Linked DNA regions of Mus musculus: regions 1 and 2 are each reported to be linked to region 3. Evidence: microRNA targets listed by miRTarBase, many of them from high-throughput screens and not tested one by one. Region 3 holds a microRNA gene; each other region holds the end of a gene's coding sequence.
Evidence for each region. Region 3 holds the annotated microRNA mmu-miR-3106-5p (UGGCUCAUUUAGAAGCAGCCA, at 3,044-3,064, opposite strand). A microRNA usually pairs through its seed, bases 2 to 8, with sites in the 3' UTR of a target mRNA and lowers its output. Matches are read on the target gene's strand: a 7mer-m8 pairs with bases 2 to 8, a 7mer-A1 pairs with bases 2 to 7 and ends in A, and an 8mer does both.

Region 1 (6,814 bases), not on the chromosome of region 3:
ATTACAAAAGGAATGTACAGAGTTCCCATTTGTGCCCAGCTTCAAGGTTGTAACATTCCCATGTCATTACCAAGATCAGAAAATGAAAGTTCCATACTAATTAACCTCGACTTAGATTCTGTGGAACACACATCTTTTTTTTCTGGCCTAGGCTCAAAGCAGACACCCCACTGACTATGTATTTATTTGTAGTAATTATTTTGTTTATTTGGCTTGTATTTTTGGTTGATTTGGTTGGTTGGTTGGTTGGTTGGAAACAGGACATCGTTATACTTTTTTTTTTTTCTGATATAGGGTTTCTCTGTGTAGCCCTGGCTGTCCTGGAACTCACTCTGTAGTCCAGGCTGGCCTCAAACTCAGAAATCTGCCTGCCTCTGCCTCCCAAGTGCTGGGATTAAAGGCGTGCGCCACTACTGCCTGGCTTATTATATTCTTGGCTGGCCTGGAACTCACTACATAGACCAGGCTGGACTTGAACTCACAAAGATCTGCTCACTTCTACTTTCTGAATGCTAAGATTAAAGGCAGATATGAGCCACCATGCTTAAAATAATCTTATTACATTTTAAAATTTATTTTATGTGCATGAACATTCTCCTGTGTGTAGATTTGTGTACCACAGGCCTACCTGCTGCCTGTGGAGGTCAGGAGAGAGGATCAAAGCCCTCAGAACTGGAATTATGGGCGATTAAGGATGCTGGGAGCTGAACCACGTCCTCTGGGAGAGCATTGGGTGCTCTGTACCACTGAGCTGTCTCCCCAGCCCCAATTTACTATTATTTTTGAAAGATTTATTTTTACATATGAGTATGTACGTATGTATGTCTGAGTGTATGTCTGAGTGTATGTCTGTCTGAGTGTATGCTACATGCATGAGTGTATCAGATCCTCTGGAGCTTGAGTTAGACGGGTGAACCTGCTGTGAGAACTCAGGTCCCTGGAAGAGCAGCAAGCACTCTTAACCACTGAGCTTCTCTTCAGCTCTATATTGTTTACTTATTTTTAAGACATGGTCTCACATCTCACATCTCCCAGGCTGACCTCCAACTTGCTAGAAATCCAAGGATGACCTAAACCTTGGGATTCTCCTTTTCTCCCATGGCGTGTGTTACCACGTCCTGTTTGTTTGTTTATTTAATGTAAGTACACTGTAGCTGTCTTCAGACACCCCAGAATAGAGCGTCAGATCTCATTAATAATGTGAGCCATCATGTGGTTGCTGGGATTTGAACTCACGACCTTCTGAAGAGTAGTTGGAGCTCTTAACCACTGAGCCATCTCTCCAGCCCGGTTTTATTTATTTATTTCATGTATGTGAACACTGTGGCTGTCTTCAAACACACCAGAAGAGGGCTTCGGGTCCCCATTGCAGATGGTTGTGAGCCACCATATGGTGACTGGGAATTGAACCCATGACCTCTGGAAGAGCAGTCAATGCTCTTAACCACTGAGCCATCTCTCTAGCTCCCCATGTCCTGTTTATTTTGGTGTGTTTTGGTGGTGTGGGTTGAATCCAGGACTTGTGCACACTAGGCAAGCATTTTACTAAGTGAGTTTCACTCCCAGCTCTATCCACTGTTGCATTGAGACAGGGTGTCGTTTTATAGCCCAGGGTCGCCTTTAACTCAATGGGTTGGTCAGACTGACCTTGAACTCCTGGCAATCCTGATGATTGCTGTTACAGCCTCCTGAATAGCTGTTACTGGCATGCACCAGTATGCCCATCTTTGGTTTCATTTAGGTAACAGTGCTGGGCTATCTTACAAACTGTCCCTTTTGTATTTAGCTGTGATTTCCCCGTGTTGAGGCTGAGACATGAATGGTCCAGGGCTCCTGGAACATCCTAGCATCCCTGTTTAGGTCCGCCTGTTGGCCCTGGTCCCTTGGTTTCAGAGAGGTGGGTTTTGTTTGTTTGTTTTGAGAGGACAGAGTATCCTTTCTGAGCCCCTAGACTTTGTAACTGCTCTCTCTCAGGGAAGGCAAGTCCTGCAGTCAGGAGTTTAACACCCCAGTGCCTTCTTTCTCCCAGCCTCCGCGACCTTGAGCCATCACTACCCAGCCTGCGTGGCCACGCATCATTGCAATCAAGTGGCCATAGAGTCAGTGGGAGACGTGACTTTCACAACCCAGAAAAACTGCTGTTTTGGAGATCTGTGCAACAGCGCCGTGGCAAGCTCCGTGACCCCCTTGTGCATCTTGGCTGCAGCTGTTACCACCCTGGCCTGGCTCTTGCCAGGACTGTAGAGCTGGAGGGTGGGACCGAGGGCAGGGTAAGGACTGAAGGACCAAGGGAGTGAGGGAGCTGGACATCTAAGGTAAGAAGACAAACACTCCCTTGTGTGCCGTTAAAATTGATGAACTATTCTAGAGAGGACTGTAAAAATATTTGTTTTTCATTCTTTGAGGCAAGGTGCTGGGATTAAAGGTGTGAGCCACCACTACCGAAATGTTCGTTTGGGTTTTTTTTTTTTTTTTTTTTTTTTTTTTTGAGACAAGTTTTCTCTAGGTAGCCCTGGCCATCCTGGAAGTCACTCTGTAGACCAGGCTGGCCTTGAACTCAAAGATCCACCTGCCTCTGTCTCCAGCTCCAAAAGGCATGTGTCATTGCTCCTAGCTTCTGAGTGCCTTCTGTTGAGAAGACTGAAGGGATAACGCACTTATCTGGCTTCTAGTTCAGTTAACAACAGTCCATCAGTGGACCTGATCCAACGACACTCCTCAAAACAATGGTGACTCTGTCCTCAGTGGCTCCCGGGACCTGCTGCTAGGCAGACTCCTTCACAGTGAGGGTCCCTGGAGGGAAGGCTGGGTGGAGGGTTATCCAGAGTCCATGGTTTCCCTTCTGTATTTCATAACTTGGCTCTCAATAGGAAGGAGTATTTCGAACTGAGAAAGGAAAGTTGCTTGAATAACCCAGTTAGAAAGGCACCTCAGAGGTGGAGACAAGAGCCAGCTCTGTCTGTACACACATTTCCTTTCTGGGGCACCCTCTAGCTAGGCTGCACCTGCTTCTTGGCGGGTGTCGTCTAAATTTAGGATAAGGGCTGTTTCTCCAAACACTGGTGCCAGTGTGCCACCCTCAGGTGTGGGAAGGGAGAAAGGCTTGCAAAACCTGCTCTTCCATTTGGTCAGTGAAACTCCCCCCCCCCAGGAGGCCTCTTAGGCAAGCATAAGGGTGAGGTGCAGGGAGTGAGATTTCCATGGAGAGAGTCCCTCCCCCACCTCCTGCTCCTCCCCTCCCCATCCTCCTCCCCTACCACCTATCTGTCTCCCAAGTGCTAGGATTAAAAGGGCATAGAGCCATGCCCACCTCTTCCTTCTTTCCTTCCATTCTTCCTCCCTTCTCTTTCTTTCTTTCCTTTTCTTTTCTTGTTTCTTTTGTTTTGTTTTGTTTTGTTTTGTTTTGTTTTGTTTTGTTTTGTTTTGTTGAAACAAAGTTTCTCTATATAGCTTGGCTGTCCTGAAACTCTCTCTGTAGACCAGGATGGCCTAGAACTCAGAGATCTGTCTGCCTTTGCCTCCCCAGGTGCTGGGATTAAAGACTTGCGCTGCCTGGCCATACCAGCCTCTTTCTTTCTGAGACAGGATCTTATTGTGGTTCATGCTGACCTTGAATTTGCTATGGAGTCAAGGATGGTCTTGAACTATTACTGCCTCTGCCCCCCAGTTGTTGAGATTACAGAGGAAAGCCACCGTACCCAGATTAGCACTTATATCTTCTAACAATAAACACAACGCTTATTAGACACTGATGTTTATTTCTCAAGATAGAAGGGGACAAGCAGAGGGTCTGGTAAGCCAGGCCCATGCAATGAGGCCAGCGCCTTTTGGAATCACTCCCTGGAGACAAGACAGGAGTTCTTCCAGACTTAGATCCCAGAGGCACAGCAGTGTGCGTCCAAGGAGGGGAGCCTTTCAGTGGCCAGTGGAGGAGGTAGAGTGTTCTAGAAGGAAATGGGAAAGGACTGGGTGTGTGTGTGTGTGTGTGTGTGTGTGTGTGTCTTTGTGTCTGTGTGTCTGTGTGTCTGTGTGTGGGTGGAATGGAGTGGAAGGTGACAAGTGAGGGAGAGGAGCGGTGGCTAGAAAGGCCACTCCAGGTACAGTCCCATGAAATAAATGGTATAGGACTAGGGACATGATCTTCAGAAGAAGGGGGTGGGAGGAGAGAAGATTCTGGAAAGCTGGAGCTCTGAGGACACAGGGAGAAAGGCTCAGGCTATAGCAGGTGGTAAGATTGTAGCCATGGAGCTAGTCTCAATGCAATAACCAGAGGCCGAGGCCAGCCAAGGAGGTGAGGGAGATGAGGGCCAGTGCGGGTGTGGGCCGTGGAGCCGGGCTGTTACAGTTATCCTTGTCACAGCAGGTGGTGTTGTAGTTCAGGCCCAGCTTATGGTTGGTTTCGTTGAAGACCTCCCGACAAGGCTCTTCTGGTGTGCCGCAGCGCAGGTTAGAGAAAACCCACATCTTCCCTAGAGGCAGGAGCCAATGGAGAAAGGATCAGCAGTGGGCACTGGCTTGCCTGTGTCCATTGGCTACTCTCCCTTCCCCAAACTGCTTGGTTTCTCCCTTCTCTCCTCAAAGTCTCATCATCCTTCCCGAGCATGAGCCATGCCCCTTCTCCTAAGACCAATTCCTGGGGTCAACACAAGCATCCACTAACACAGTAGAGACACAGGTCAGCGCCTGGCACATAATCATCTTTGGCCATCCGACATCACTGTTGTAACTCTCTGAACTATCCCTGGATGGGCTTCAGACAAAGAGATCATCTCCCACCCGGCCTTCCCTTCCCAGAGAAGAGGGGGTGTTACCAAGGTACACGTTTGTTGTCAGGCATTTGTGGCCCGGCTCCAGGCGGCAGGACTGGCGATCCACACAGCCCAGCACAGGGACTTTGTAGCAGGAGTGACATCGAGTATCAGCTGGGGAGGCAACAAGTTGGGTTGAGGTAATGGGACATCTGAGTCACCCGAGGATGAGTTGAGTTAGGGGTTAGGATGGAGAACTGCCGCATTGCGCAGTCAGTGCCTCACACCTGCTCTGTTCAGAGACAGAACAGGTGAGCAATCCGGCGAAAGTGCAAAGTGGTGTGGGCACTGGGCGGAGGTGTTTGTTCTATGTGGAAACCTAAATACCTTCCTCCACCCAAGCCTGCCTGAGATGAGTCAAGAATTGTACTAACAAAAACCCGGAGCTGAGGATGGCTGAGATGTGTGGAAAGAGGGATGGAGCAGAGGTTGGGGTCCAGGGTGAGACTTGAAATAGGGAGAAAGAAGTTAAAGGAGTCCACAGAGCCTTCAGAGATGGCATGAAACCACGGCTGCAAGAAAGTCACCGGTGACTAGCTTTAGAAGTGGACTGGACCTCTGCCAACAGATTGGGGAGATTACTGAATGAATCATCTCTACTCTTCTGGCGTTTGCTCTATGGAAAAAAGGAAAACTAACACCTGGTAGACGTATCACTGGCATCTAACAGAAATGGAGAGGGTGGGTGCAGCGGATGACACGCCAGGATTCCCGGGTTGGCTAACTCCAGATGTAAGCACACAAAGTGCGGCGCAGGAATGGTCAGCCCAGGGGTAGAGGAGCCTAGAGAGCCTCCCGGAAACGCATCTCACTTTAGGGTAAGTGCTGCAGCATCTTCTCTGTAGAAGGCTCAGGGAAAGTTTCTGATTCTTGGGAAGGCTGTAGCAGTCGCTGGGTCCACCCAGAAGGCTTTGCATCCCCGGTAGGGATATAGGTGTGTAACTCAGGAAGGAGCAGGGAACGAGCCAGGAAGGGCCATCGCTGAGGCTCTGAGAGGAGTGGCATGGAATCCTTTCTATGAGGACCCTCAGCTCAGGGCAGTAGGTGAGTGAAGGCAGGTATGCTAATCTTGGAGAAGTGCATTTGGAACTGGCTAGACAGACATCTGGGTGTTATAGAGTGCAGGAAAGGTGTATAGAGACCTAGTGCCATAATGCCAGGTAAGAAGAGTAGGCTAGGCCAATACAGGGCTAGGAGAAAATGACAATGGAGACCTGGGTCCTTGATAATGGACCAAAGAGCCTAGGTGTGATACACATGTGTAATCCCAGCATTAGAAGGTAGAGGCAGGAGGATCAGGAGTTCAAAGCAGGAGACTCTGACCCACCCCCCCCCAAAAAAGAATACAAGAAATGGAAGGAGGAAGGAAAAGAAGGAGAGGAGTAAGAAAACTAGAGCCCATCATGCTCAGAGATATCTGATCCTGGAGGCATTGGCGAGACTAAGCCATGTAGGGTTGGGACTTCTTGGGATCCTGAGTAGAGGGAAATATGAAGTATTGGATTGGGATGGGGCCTGGGGCCCCTCAGCACTCACCTGAGACCCAGCAGTAGAGTAGGGCAGACAGGGTGAGCAACAGGAGGTGTTTCATGGTGAGGGTCCTGAGAATGTCCACAGCCCCAGCAGTTGACAGCAGATTCCCAGGTCTCCAGCTCTGAGAGTTGAGCGGTCTTTTCAGAATTTATAATCCCAATGGCTCCTCCCTTCCGGGCCTGTGCCCTCTGTGGGCACCTCCCTCCCAATTTATTCCCAGCTGACTAAAGAGAAAGACTAGAGGTGGAAAGGGTCCAAGAGGGCCTGGGTAGGAAGGGGAGACAGGAGAGGGAGATAGGAGGGGGAAAGTGTCACTAGTGGGCAACTCCATTTTGGATCTTGGATTCAGGACCCCCAGCTGAGGGCCCCCTGCCCTGGAGAGAGCATCAGAAAAGCCTCTGTGACTTAGACAGCCACAACACTAGTTTCTGCTAGTTCCCAGGAAACAGACAGTAACTGAGTTGTTTCAGCAA
Region 2 (6,814 bases), not on the chromosome of region 3:
CAGTGATACTGTTTTCTTCTTAATCACAGCTAATTTCTCAGCTTCAGTTAACCAGCATTAGTTGTCCTCCCTCGTAAAGCAAAGGTTTTACTTGAGTTCTGCTGATCTCTTGTTCATCGCACCTGATTCTTCAGCCTCAGCTGACTTCAACTGCAGATTCTTAATTCAAAATACCACACAAATGACGCTGATAGAATCTTTGCTTCCCTCTGAAACTTCATTTGCTTTGGTGTCAGCATTCTTATCTTCCTTGGCTCCCACAGAGCAGCCCGTTAAGCTCTAACCACTTGATGGATAGGAACTTGAGATAGGAACTGAAGTCAAAACCTTGGAAGAACGACTTTTTGGCTTGCTTGCTTTTGCAACCTAAGTGATTGCTTGAGGTGTGGCACTGTCTCTAGGGAACTAGGTCTTCTCTTATCAATGAAGAAAATGCCCCAAAGGCTTGCCTATAGGCCAGTCTAATATACTCAGTTGAGTAAATATCAGATGACTTTGATCAGATGAATCCAGCTTTTGTCAAAATGACAAACAACAACAACAAAAACCTAACCAGTGCAAATGTATCTATCTAAAAACTCAAAATATGACTTTATTTGGTTTAGTATCTTTATATATGTAACTAGTTAATATAAGGTCACATTAGGTTAATTAGTTGACTGTGGTACTTACAGAAGCACCAAATTAAGATAATAGAAGGCTGCCACAAGAAGGCTAAGGCAGACTCTGAGATTCAGCTACAAGCCAAGAAATGCCAAACACTTTGTAAACCACTGGCAGCTAGGGGGTGGGCATGGTAATTCTGCCCAGTCCTCTGACACGTTTATTTGGGGCACTTAGTCATCTGTATCATGCACGTTTTTGTTATTCTAAGTTACTAAGTATGTGGTAGTTTGTAACAAGGTTCTGAGGAAACTAATATAGGGGAACCCAAGGAATAATTCCTAATAAGTACAAAGTTTCCTTTGGGGGATGATAAAATATTCTAAAATTAGGCTGATGATTGGATATGCTGAATAGAGTAAAACCCTCTAACAATACGGTTTAAATTGGGGACTTATATAGTACATGAATTATATCTAAATGAATGTATTTATTCATAAAAAACCCTATAAGCATTGATTGAATGCTTTCTGTTTTCAAAAGGATTGAGGATATGAGGAAGCGGCATGTAGAGACTCCCCAGCCTCCTTTACTCCCTGCTCCAGGTAAGTGAACAAGTGGTAGATGATGGGAGGAGATGCTTAGGGAGGGGAAACATGTGTTGGTTTCTCTGCTGCTCTGCTTTGGGGAGTTCTTGCTGACCTCTCCTGTCAGTAGCCCACATCACTCTGAGGTCAAAGGAAAAATGTGCTGGTGGAGGTGGCTCCCAGCAATGTAGTCAAATATGGTGGTATCAGTAAGTCTCAGCACCTTGTTAGCCCCCCTTTCCATTTGAGGCCTACCTAGGCTGTGCATGAAGTACTTACATAGTTCATCACACTCCTGTGTTCTTTTTTCTCAGCTCACCACTCCTTTCATTTGGCCTTGTCCAACCAGCGGAGGAGCCCTCCTGAAGAACCTCCTGACTTCTGTTGTCCGAAGTGCCAGTATCAGGCTCCTGATATGGACACTCTACAGATACATGTCATGGAGTGCATAGAGTAGGAGCAGCAGATGCAAGGCCACTTGCAGTACTATGTCCTGATCTGTGTGACTTGTGCTTTCCTGTTTTACCTGCATAGTCCACACTTAAGGGCTTGCTTTAGCCCTTTGGTCCCCCATTTAGGGTAGACAGCCCCATTCAGGGCTTTTTTTTTTCTGTGTGCCTGATCCAGTTTGCCTCTGGTGGCTTCTTCCCTCTTCTCCCATAGTCCTAGGGAGTCTAGAATGGAGGCCAGGGGCTCTTAGGGAGCATCCCTTCTCCAAGCAGGTCTGGGTACAGCTTTTCTTCTCTCCAACTGGTACCTTTCTTGCCGGTGAACTGCAGGCTCTCCTCCCAGGGCATGTGGCACTTGGGTCTATAACATGTGTTACCTCTGGTAGACATGTGGAAAGTATTCTGTCCTTTTGTTACTGTAATTAATGGTGTAGTGAAAGTACTTGTACACTGATCTGTGTGTACCTTTAGGACAGATGCTTAGATGTGACATTGGATCCTTGCCCTGGAGGAGGTGGGCAGACCTTTGGATTTTTGCCATCTCTAAGATATACCATTCTTTACTAAAGAATTTGCTTAAGTGTCTTTTTCTGGGGCATGTGGGCCCTTTTTAATTCCTCTGATGTAACTTGGATTTTCATAATTCCTACCCATTTTTCTGTTGGGACATTGCCATTTGTTCTTGGGCTTTGTAGAGCTTTTTGATTATCAGTCAGGTTGGTTTTGACTATTACAGAAGTGCACCCCTTGTTCCACATTGATTGTTAGTGTTTTGGGGCCTAGAAGCTGTTTTATACTCCTACTTACCCATTCTTTACTCCTAGTTTTTTGACTTTGGAATTATGACTGCTTTGTCAACAGAAAGGTATTTCACATGTATGCTTTCCTTTTTCTAGCCCCAGTGTGCTCTTGTTTTTGCCAAGCACATTGTTACCTTCTGTGAATGGTGGTGGCCATAGTTCATCACACTCCTGGAGTTTGTGATCACATGTTCTTCACCAGCCAAAATGTCCTAGGGAACCATTTAGCAGTGACTGACTGATCACAGAAAAGGGAACACTTCACTTGTTTTGCAAGGTTCTAGACATTTTGTGGGACCTTACCGTCATTGGTATTAGACCTGCAGTTCTAGTAAAGGAAAGGAAGTTGTAGTTGAGAAAGCAATAAATATGCCTTGCTCATTCCTTAGGTCTAAATCCTTCCTGCCCTCCTGTAAGCTTTCATGGTTCTGAGTGGTATCTGTGAATCCATCCCGGGGGCTTTTATTTACATGGTTTCTTTCCCATTAAGAGTGAGAAGGCTAAGTAGAATTCAGATTATAAAAAAGGATTTAAAAAGTAATCCTGAGCTGGGGGCTTTCTCGGAATTTTCAGGGGATGCAGAGTAAGTTTTCCATTTCCTAATTCCCAGGTATCTATCAGAAAGATCTTTAGGAAAATGTTAAAGGAACAAACAAGTTCTTTGCTTATGTGTTTTCATTTAAATACCTAATCTATAATTTTCCTTTAGGAATACTATTGGTTTAGGTTGAGTCCAGTTTTGTGGTGGTATATATCACTTTTCTATAGCTGCTTTAAAATTTTTCCTAAACTTGGAAGAGCAAGAACAACAACAACAACAACAACAACAACAAATCACTCTTTCCTGTCTGGAAGCCACATATTAAGTTTTTTCTGGAGGCTGTGAGAATCAATTCCAGGCATTCTCTTAACTTTCAGTGGTTTGTGGTAGTCCTTGGTGTTGCTTGGCTCATAGACCCATCACTCCAGTTTCTGGTTCTAGGGCCTTGTGGTTTCTTCCTCTCTTCTGTCTCATAAGGAAACCATGTTGTGCATGTGGGGTCTATTTGATTAGATTAAGGAGGATCTCCAGTTCAAGACCCTTAACTCATTCCACCTACCAAGATCCTTTCCCCAAATAAAGTCTTGTTCTCACATTATGGGGGTTTGGGCTTATATAACCCGGAGTATGGATATCATCAGAACCTGAGTAAATGCAGCCCAAAGGCAGGGCCTTTAAAGCCTTGTAATTCTGCTAGAGAGACCTGGTCTCTAGGGTGATGACCAGTAGTCTTCAGAGTTTGAAGGCAGACCCTTGTCAGTGCTTGATGCTGTTAGTAGGGTCAGTGGGAATGATTGGGAAAGGCAGGTTGGCTATAGTAGGAGAGAGCTGTTGGGCTGCCTGCAGTGGCTGCATGAGCTTCACGCTTCTTGGATAAACAGAGATGCATAGGTGCATTTCTGACCAGTACTTTATCCTGAAAGGGTCCCAGAAAGCAGGTGTGACCCAGGTTACACAGTAGGAAGCTTGAAAACATGGGCTTCATGCACTGGTCAAGACAAATCTGAGGGTGGCACAAGGTAATGGTTGGGACCTAGTACCCTTCTAGAAGGTGGGAGCCCTTGCCACCGACTTACCCTGCAGTATGGTGTATGATTAACCGTACATCAAAGATTTGAGATTCTACCATCTTTTTGACATGAGACATGCTCTTTTCTTTTGCAGAATTACTTAAGCTAGAACTGGAAAAAGTGGTCGTTCCATTCCCCTCAGGAATTAGTCTACTTGCTTTTGCACAAATTTTATGTGGCCTCTGGCAGACAACTTTTAGATCCATACAGCTAGAAGCATGCCCTTTCCAGAAGACCTGTTCTGGAATAGATAGTGCTTCTTATGTATGCTCTCTTCCTGTTGGCCCATGCCCAAGAGAAAACCAGAGAGCCAGTAAGACAGTACAGAGTGCTTCACCTACTGAAGTAATAAACGATAAGGCAGATTGTAGGTAGGAATGATATCTAAAAAGGAACAATTGCAGCCCTGTGTGTGACACCCTCAGGCAAGGTAAGGCCTACCTTTTAGTGTTTCCCCTTTCAAGGTGGGAGTTTGGAGAGATGAACAAGCACTTTGGAAGCATCCCCAGCCCTCTTTACCTGACAACAGTTTGGTCCTCACAGTGACTGCTTCATTGGAGTGCCTCTCCAGTGTTATGGCACCATCATCTGTTACCACCCAAGGCTGTGATGAAATAAGATACAACATATCCGATGACACAGGCCTGCATGGCTAGCATCTTGAACATTTTATTACATGAACATTCTCTGTACGATGGTATAAAAAGGCCCGAGGATTAAATTATGTATAAAATATGAAATAAAGAAGTAAGACTTTCAAGCATGCACTCTGTCCTCCCTTGTTGGATGTAGGGGTAGGATTGCCAGTAACAAAGGTTTTCTTTGCTATTTCTATCTCTTTAATTCCCCTGTATTACATAGGAAGTAGCTGTTACACACAGCTCTGAGGTTTCTTCTGCCTATGGCTGAGGAAAGCTCATTATTGACACAACAGAGTGGTGAAAGGGGCCAAGTCAACTAATTTGGGGCTTGAATTTCCTGTGGTTGCAGCAACAAAGTACCACACGTTAGGGAGCTTAGGCAACAGATTTCCTCTCCCTGTTAAGGATGGCAGGCATCTGAGAAGTGGGTTCCTCATAAGGGATAACCCATTCCAGTGCCCCTCTCCAGTGTGTGGCAGGTCCCAGAAATTCTTAGTTTTCTCTAGTTGTACCTGCATCTCTGCCTCTGCCACTTTTGTCACATGGCCATCTTGTGTTTCCTTTTTATAAGCACACCAGTGTTGTATACAGGTGGGTATTTGGAAACATGGAAGCATTTTGTTCAGTATCTAGTGACAGTGATGGAAAGAGATGATTTGCAGAGAAGGTCAGAGCAGCATGAGGGTCTTAGGTATGGAGCTGCAGCCAACATTATGGACATGGAAGAGAGGGATTGCTGGACTTTTGGTTTCCTGCCTGGGTACCTGGACAATCTATCTACCATTGGGAGGACTAGGTAACAGTGGAAGTTAGTTATGAGAGAAGTTGTTTGATGTTCAATTCTGATCTAGCCAGGCTCAGTGTGAGATGTCCTGGGTCCCTTCATCTTGCCTTGACTGTTAGGTGCAGTTTCATATTGAAACTGCAGGCTCTTTTTTATCCATTGCTACTGGCAACCAGTGTGATCTGGTAAATCTGTTTCCACTTTGCTTAGTGCTCTCCACTGATTTTCTGTTACTTGAGACCTAAACTCCATCTTCAGCCTTGTGTTGATCTAATGTCATGTCAACTTCTCTAAAAGCTCAGCCAATTCTACACTGGCCTTCTATTCCTTTCCTCAAACCACTTAGCACTTTTTTTTTTTAAATTTTTTTAGATTTATTTATTTATTTATTATATGTAAGTACACTGTAGTTGTCTTCAGACACTCCAGAAAAGGAGTCAGATCTTGTTACGGATGGTTGTGAGCCACCATGTGGTTGCTGGGATTTGAACTCCAGACCTTTGGAAGAGCAGTAGGGTGCTCTTACCCACTGAGCCATCTCACCAGCCCAGCACTTCTGTTTCTTAAGGCTGTTGCTCCTGTTGTCTCCTTTGCTGAGAAAGTTCTGTTCCCTAATTTGTACTGTTGACTACTTTTTGTCATCCATATAAGTGTAAACAAAAGTTCTTTCATCTGATCTCTTCATCCTAAATCATACTACCCTGTTTTAACTCACATTACTACCACTGACCTTTTCTAGTGTTTTTTTCTTTTCTACCACTAGAGGGAGACAGAAGCCGTATCAATTTAGTCGTATACTCAACACAGGGAAACTGCATTTACTGATGGCTGAGCTTGTCTGAGACGATATCAGGATTCCCCTGCCAATATCTTCATGGACGTCACTTGTCACCATAATTGGTGACTTATAGAAGTTATTAATGTACTAGAAATTATAGTACAGAAATCTTATTTTAGGACTATAGTACCAATAGCCTTTTTTTGTGGTGCTGGGGATAGAACCCAGGGTCTTTCACATGTAAGCATTCATACCATCACTGAGCTACAATCCCTGGTTATCAGCTTCTCACTTTATTTACCTTCCCCTGACTTTGACAGCCCTGTCTAGTTTGGAACTTATTATGTAATCCACGATGGCCTTGAATTTACAGCCATCCTCAGCCTCTCCAGTGCTAGGATTATAAATATATCTGACTAGCTTATTTTTTTCATTTTGTTCAGGTTTTTAATGAGTGTCTTGGTTTCAGATATGAAAAACAGAATTTGGAAGAAAGCCAGTTGGGCCAGTCTGTGGTAGAGCATGCACTCAAAGTTGAAGCAAGATGTTAATGAGTTCTAG
Region 3 (6,814 bases):
TGTGGTGTGACTAGAACATTTTCCCTCCCATCCATTAACTATGTATGTACATAAAAAGTTTGTGTGAATGGGGGTTGAAACATTGTTCCTTCCATCCACCAGTTAGTTGTGTGTATTTATGTATATATGTGTGGAATATTTAGAGTCTGCTTAAAGGAGCTTTGATCTAACCAATCTATGTGTGAATATGTGTATGTCTGTCTGTAGGTCTGTTTTCATGTATGTATATGTGTATGTATGTATTCATGCATGTATATTTGTGTGTATGAAGCTATTGGACTCTGCCTTTTATACATTCAGTGTGTGTGTGTGTGTGTGTGTCTGTGTGTGTGTGTGTGTGAATTTTCTCTCTTTCCTTCTCTTTCTTGCCTGCCCCAAGGAGTTAAAGAAATGCATAATTTTGCAGTGTTCCAAAGAAGTGCCAGTCCCTGTAAAGTAAGCTTTGTACCCTCAGAAAAAAAAGTCTGCTAAGCAGCTTCTCTAATCACTGGATGCCTTTGGCAGCAGCCCCTGTAGGTATCTGGATCCACCCAGGATGGCAGCTCTAAGCACTAACCTCCAATGGGTGCCTGCCTAGGTTTACCCACAACATGGATGCCAAAGCCAGAGTCGTTGGCAATGTTGGGCTCAGGCAATAGAGGAAAGGAATCCTACCTTCTGCCCTGTAGCCAAGGAACTAAATTACTGACAAGGCATTTTGCTAAATGATGGAGTAGAGGCAGGGGTACAGAGGCACAGAGAGATGTCTGGGCACTAGCAGGAAGAAAGCCATTTGGATAGTTCTAGAAGGAAGTACAGCTACCTTACCTAGTCCTCAAACCAGAGTGAAATCGTACTGGAAAGAAAATTCTTGGGCATGATGGAGTAAAAACATTGTGGTATCCAGAGAAGAATGGTAGTCATGGTTCTCAGTGGTACCTAGAGAAGAATGAATGATGTGCAGCCTACCTATGACCTCTGTATCTGTTGAAGCTATCTGACAAAGAAGTGGAGTCAGATGGGTAGGACAGGGGAGGAGAAAGGTTGGGGAATACAAAACACACTGATCCAACACTAATGTATTATTGAACCTGGCTCAGAAATACTGGCATAGAGATGCTGGGGGTGGCACACAAATAACCATAGACTCACAGGGATACAGGGAGGGACACACAGCACAGACCCAACATTTAAGAGTTCATTTGTGGTCCTATGGAATGGATTGGAGTGAGAACAGATAGGAAGGCAGAGTCACTGCAAAGCTATCAAAAGTAGGGTTAGAGGACAATGGTTCAGATGAGATGCGAGCTAATGTGGAGGAGGAAGAGCACAGCTCCCGAGGAAGAGAGCATAGACACTGAGCACAAGACACTGAACCCGGGCCCACCCCTCACTCAGAGATTAGCCCTCACCAAGGCTTCCTGAGACACCAGGAAAGCAAAGAAACCTTTCATTGACGATAATTAGGAGCTAATCTTAATAAACATGTTTCAGAGAATACTCACACACAGAACAAGACATTTCGTGTTCTCTTGGATTCCAATTGGAAAATCAGACTTATGAATTAGCACAAATTGTGACGATTGTCTAAGAACACATTAAGACATGCACCTGAGCCATCCCAGCCAAAGCATGATGCGCTCATTCATGCTTTGGAACTTCCTTGGTTGTTCTTGCTGGCCTTTCCCAATGATGTGTGCAAGCTGTTCATTTCTATCTTTTTAAATAAAGGGAAGGACATATGTGGCAAGAAGGGGCATAGAATATTTTTAGCATCCATGTTGACATTCCCAGAGTCCTTGAAAGTTTCAGGATGACATAGAAGCCACTTAGTTATGTGGCATGGTGCTAATGGCTTTCTACTGTTTCTGCTTAATATGTCCATATATTGTAGCTTTTTTTTTCACATTTAATTTTGATGATAAATTTGAAAGAAAAACCCAATACTCTGATATAAAAGTGAAATTTCAATATTATGCTTCAAAATCGATTTTAATTAAGATTTCTGACTGATGATGATACTTTTGATACTAAACACATCTAATAGTTCACTGGGATCACTCAAATTTCTTTTTATTGATGAAATGTATTTGTGAGCATAGTAACTTCTCTCATGTGTTTTGTGAGCACACGTGTTCATGTGTGTACAGACTCATGTGCATGTAGGAGCCAGACACAGATGTAAGGAGTCTTCCTTAATCACTCTTCACATTACTCTTTGAGACCCGTTCTCCCATTCACCCTATAGCCTACCATTTGGGCCAGACTGCCTTCCCACTGAGCCTGAGCCCCCACCTGTCTTTGCATCCTCACACTTCCCAATCACATATTGCCGTGGATGCTTTGAATGTGGGTTCTGGGAACTGAACTCGAGTCCTCATGCTTGCATGGTGAGCAATTTATAGATGGAGTTATCTCTCTAAGCCAACATATTTGTTATTTCTATATTATTGTTGGGTAGACTATAGTAACAGGTTTTAAAACTAAAGAGACAGGGAGGAAGAGAAACAGACATAGACAGAATGCACAGACATGATTGCTCTCATTATCTACCTGAGGATTCAGGTATATCATCTTTGTTTTACTCATTGGTTACTGAGACTATATTGCTTCAAATACATATAAAGTATATTGCCTATTTCTGATTTATATTGAAGAAGAACATTAGATGCTGAAGAGATAAAAAATATAAATACTTGTTCATTAAGAACTTGTGGTTGGTACTGGTTGAAAACCAACATGTAACAGTTATCATTTGGGAGAACATCATGTTAGTAGAACATCGAGTGCTCACTTGACACACACTGAACACATATTAACTTCACTGGGTAAAACATCATTTATTTCATTGCCTAGGCCCAGCCATGGCTTCCAGGGCTCAGCCCCACAAGAGGTGTCACAGATCCATCAGCGAGTGCCTAAGGAGACAGAGGGCATTCTTGTGTTGGTGGCTACCGGCAAAGGAGGTCACATGCCGAGTTGCATGGCTCCTTCCTTGAGGGTCCGTGGCAACAGGAGAGGAGCACAGGAAAGCCCATGTATAGGCAGCCACTCTCTGAGTGTATGGCTGCTTCTAAATGAGCCACCTGTGCTTCCCTGGGGACAAGGTACTGATGAGAAGCCACACAGGTGAGCCTGGGCGTGGCTCTTCCTTCCGTTTCCCAAATGCACATACAGACAATGCTCATGCTAACACTTTTACACAGGAATTCCCAGGAGAAGGACAGCTGTGACCTCAGCGAACAACATTCCACATTTCATAGCAGAAATACCAGTGTTCAGAATATAATACAGGACAATCTGATGGTTTACACACAGGTGATTTAGTAATTTAAAATGTAACTTCCCCCTTCAGGGGTCTGCTTTTCTTTTCTTTTTCTTTTTTTCAAATTTGTTTTTCTAGGACTAATATGTCAAAGTAGTATTCTTGTTTTCCACTCTGAAATTCCACAATTTATTAAAATGCCTAGATGGCTCTAAGCATCTGCTTGGCTGGCAGGAGAGTCTGTGTAACCGCGAAGTCTTCCCGGACAAAGATGAGCGAAAATTTATAAGATAAAAATAGTTTTATATAACTCTCTAATAAATATTCATTTCACAAAGTGAGACAGGAAGTAAAACTAGATTGAACATAGAATTGCAAGCCTGGAATGTCAGCACAAATGGAGCCAACCTGCAGGGGAAGGTAATGACAAAAGGCGACCCCATCAACGCAGCCCCGATGCCAAAATGCAGCACGCACAAATTCTGATGTGCCTTTAAGATTTAAAAGTCCCTTCAAACATATACTTTCAACAATGTTTCTAAGAGTCTTCAGCATTTTTTTGTGAAATTGAATTACATAATTATTTTTAAAGTTAGGAATAGCCTCAACATGAAATCATTTAAATGCAAATGCTGGAGAGACAATTAGGGAAACATTCAATTTTATATATATGAAGTATAGTTTTTTTAGCATTCAACTTTAATTCCCATTGTCTAAAACTCAGTACTGCATACCTTCATATTGATTTAATTTTCATGATAATATCCAAATTGGCACCTCTAAAAATACTTTTTATACACTCTGGGCAATATATTCTTTTCATCTACTATTGGCTTAGGAGCTTGTGGAGGTGGCTGGTCCTGACCCTGGCAACTTATTTAGGAACATGGTCCTTTATGTGACCCTCTCTTAGCAAGGACTTGCCTGGCCATGACAGAAGACATGGTCCGTGTCATGTGAGGCAGATTACAGTTACCTCCAACATAATCCGAGCAGAGGACTCTAAGGCAGATTGTTAGGACTAGGGTTGGTTCAATCAAGGAAAATGTTCAAAGCCTGGCAATCTCCAGGTTTCATGAGATAGTGTGAGACTGGGGGACTTCTAAAGAAATAAACTTCGTATTCACTTAGGAATTTTAACCTAATCCTGGGAAAGGGGAGGGCAGGTAGCTATGGCAGGGGAGGTGCAACCCCATTTGCCTCCCTGTACTAGCCTGGAGAAATAGCCTGCTACTTGGCCTTCCATGCAGCTCTTAAATGTCTCGGTGCTTGGGTAAGACGCACTTCGGGAGGTTAGACTGCAGCTCTCTTTACTTGCTTCAGTGAACTGGCGTTCTTTTTCGTCATTCAACATCATGCTAAAGACTTCTTTGGTTGAGAGTCATAAGATGACTGTGAGGTTTCCATTGCCCCAGGAACCTGTTCAACTTTGGACTGAGCAATGTAACCAGCACTCCTCATGTTAAATTTTCCCACCCTCTGGGTCTGGAGAGATGGCTCAGTGGTTAAGAGCACTGGATGCTCTTGCAGAGGTCCTGAATTCAATTCCCAGCAACCACAGGGTGGCTGTAATGGGATCTGATGCCCTCTTCTGGTATGTCAGAAGACAGGGACAGTGTACTCAAATACATAAAATAAATAAATAAATAAATCTTTAAAAAAAATGTTTCCCCACCCTAGCTGGCCCATGCCTGCTCCCCATATGCCTCTGAGAGCAGTTACTGGTACAGCTATTAGCAAAGGTTAGGATGTTTTTGATACACCCCTTTAAGGCATGTTTTCCTTGTCAGTCTATAAAAGGACTGTAAGCCATACACTCACAATCCAAGCACAGTGACTTCCTTCTTTCTCACTCTCTTCGTGGTCCCTGCCTGAATCCTGTCCCTCTCTCTTCTGCAGAACCTAGGCTGTAGGCCTAGTCGGTGATAACTTGGGGGGCAAGGTTTATATAACATCCTGTACATGAGGTGTACATGAGCATCTCCTCATGGGGGCAGTATTTAGCATTTGGATATTTAGCAGCACCAAACCAACCCTTACATTTCACTCTTCAAGGAATGGCTGATGGCTTAGTCCCTGGGAGTTCTTTTGGAGGAACCCTCTCATAGAAGCAGGGGGAGAGAGGATGTGATAGGGTGTTTCTGGGAGGGAGGGAAACTGAGAAATGGGATGACATTTGAAATGTAAATAAAGAAAGTATCCAAGAAAAAAGAAGAATGGCTGAATGCCAGCGAGCTGTCAGTCTGACTGTAACTCCTGAGTGCCAGGCTGCCCTCTCTCTGCTGCTTATGTCATGGATGGACAGCCACCTGTGCAGGAGCTGAAGCTCCATAGTGCACTAATGGGCTCGGTGCAGATCCTCAACATGAAGTAGAGATAAAGTTCACCACGCAAACTACCACCAGTGGAACAAAGTCATTGCATCGGATCTATTCATCAAAATCACCTCTCCTGTCCTGTGAGGTCAGCCATTGCAGGTTTTCCTGCAGGTTCTTGGAGTACGCAATCTCATGCTTCCCGAGTGCGTCCTCCTTGGCCACACCCCCATCCCATCCTCCCCTCCTTCCTATTGGCCTTCCTATAAACTGGAGCCAAGAACACAGTCTCCTCCTTTAACTTCCAGTGATGTGGTCATCTGAGAAATCCCCAGAAGCTGTTTGTCTGTCGCAGTCTGTCTTATAGGAACAGAGAGGGGTTTATTATTGTCCAAATCAGTTTGTGCTGATTATACTCTGTTTGAAGCTTGTTACACTGCCCCTGGCTATGGTTCAAGCACTAAGTATACTCTGAAATTTCTTATGAATCCTGCCACAAATGAAAAAACATCAGTGTTGTCCTTGCTTTTTATTCTTTTATTTCATTGTGTCTGTTATTCCAGGTAGGATATAACCTGAAAACATGGGCAGGATTGCTTTAATTTTAATCTATACAATCCTGACCCTTAATGTATAAAGCATGCCATAAGTTCACATCACCATACTTAATTGATATCCATTTTAATCTAGATAATGAGCTGATAGCTGCCACAGACTAAACTAAAATAACAACCATCTAGTGAATTCCATCTTTAGTGAAATATAAACTACATTGCTTGTCCACATAAAGCAACTAGCAAATGGGCTTTCAAAACCAAGAAGATAAACTTGTGCCCTGAGAGTTTTAATGCTTCTTAATTTCCACAAGAAGTTGGAAGGATTTAAAAATAGTATTCAATCAGAAATATGCAGCAATGGAAATTTCAAAATGAGTTTAATAATAATAATTCATGTGGCTAGAAAAGAAGCTGGCAAGTTTCCCATTTCTCTACAAATTGAGTTTCCAAAGAGGGAATCCCATCGGCCCCATGCTGTGCTGATGGAAGGATGCTCACAGCATATGCACATATTAAGACAGGCAAAAACATGGCTTATTTTACATCACATACATTTTAGCACCGACATCTTCATTAGAAATACAAAGTGGTTTTATTTTGGCCACGGTAAATTGAGTTAGAGGATGTAACAGGAGCTGAACGTGAAATCTCAGGTTTGTGAAGCTAATCCTGGGTGGCAGAATAGATTTACAACAGAA

Region 1: the mRNA of Ly6g6d is a reported target of mmu-miR-3106-5p. Seed matches in the 3' UTR shown: 7mer-A1 at 2,429-2,435.
Region 2: miRTarBase lists Ikbkg as a target of mmu-miR-3106-5p. Seed matches in the 3' UTR shown: 7mer-A1 at 5,936-5,942 and 7mer-A1 at 6,006-6,012.

Annotation. Positions count from the first base shown.
Region 1 is chr17:35,066,975-35,073,788 of GRCm38, reverse strand. Ly6g6d (lymphocyte antigen 6 complex, locus G6D) reads left to right here. Exons shown (of 5, transcript NM_001371028.1): 5 at 2,030-2,447. The coding sequence ends at 2,244. Ly6g6c (lymphocyte antigen 6 complex, locus G6C) reads right to left here and starts at 6,464. Exons shown (of 3, transcript NM_023463.3): 1 at 6,345-6,464; 2 at 4,812-4,922; 3 at 3,741-4,469. The coding sequence starts at 6,399. The coding sequence ends at 4,255.
Region 2 is chrX:74,446,713-74,453,526 of GRCm38, forward strand. It overlaps Ikbkg (inhibitor of kappaB kinase gamma), which reads left to right. Exons shown (of 10, transcript NM_010547.2): 9 at 1,147-1,208; 10 at 1,505-6,814. The coding sequence ends at 1,647. Among named protein-coding and RNA genes, the nearest start is that of Ikbkg, 20 kb to the left of the region's middle.
Region 3 is chr8:16,165,762-16,172,575 of GRCm38, forward strand. Mir3106 (microRNA 3106) reads right to left here and starts at 3,077; the gene lies at 2,996-3,077. All of the region lies in intron 23 of Csmd1 (CUB and Sushi multiple domains 1), which reads right to left.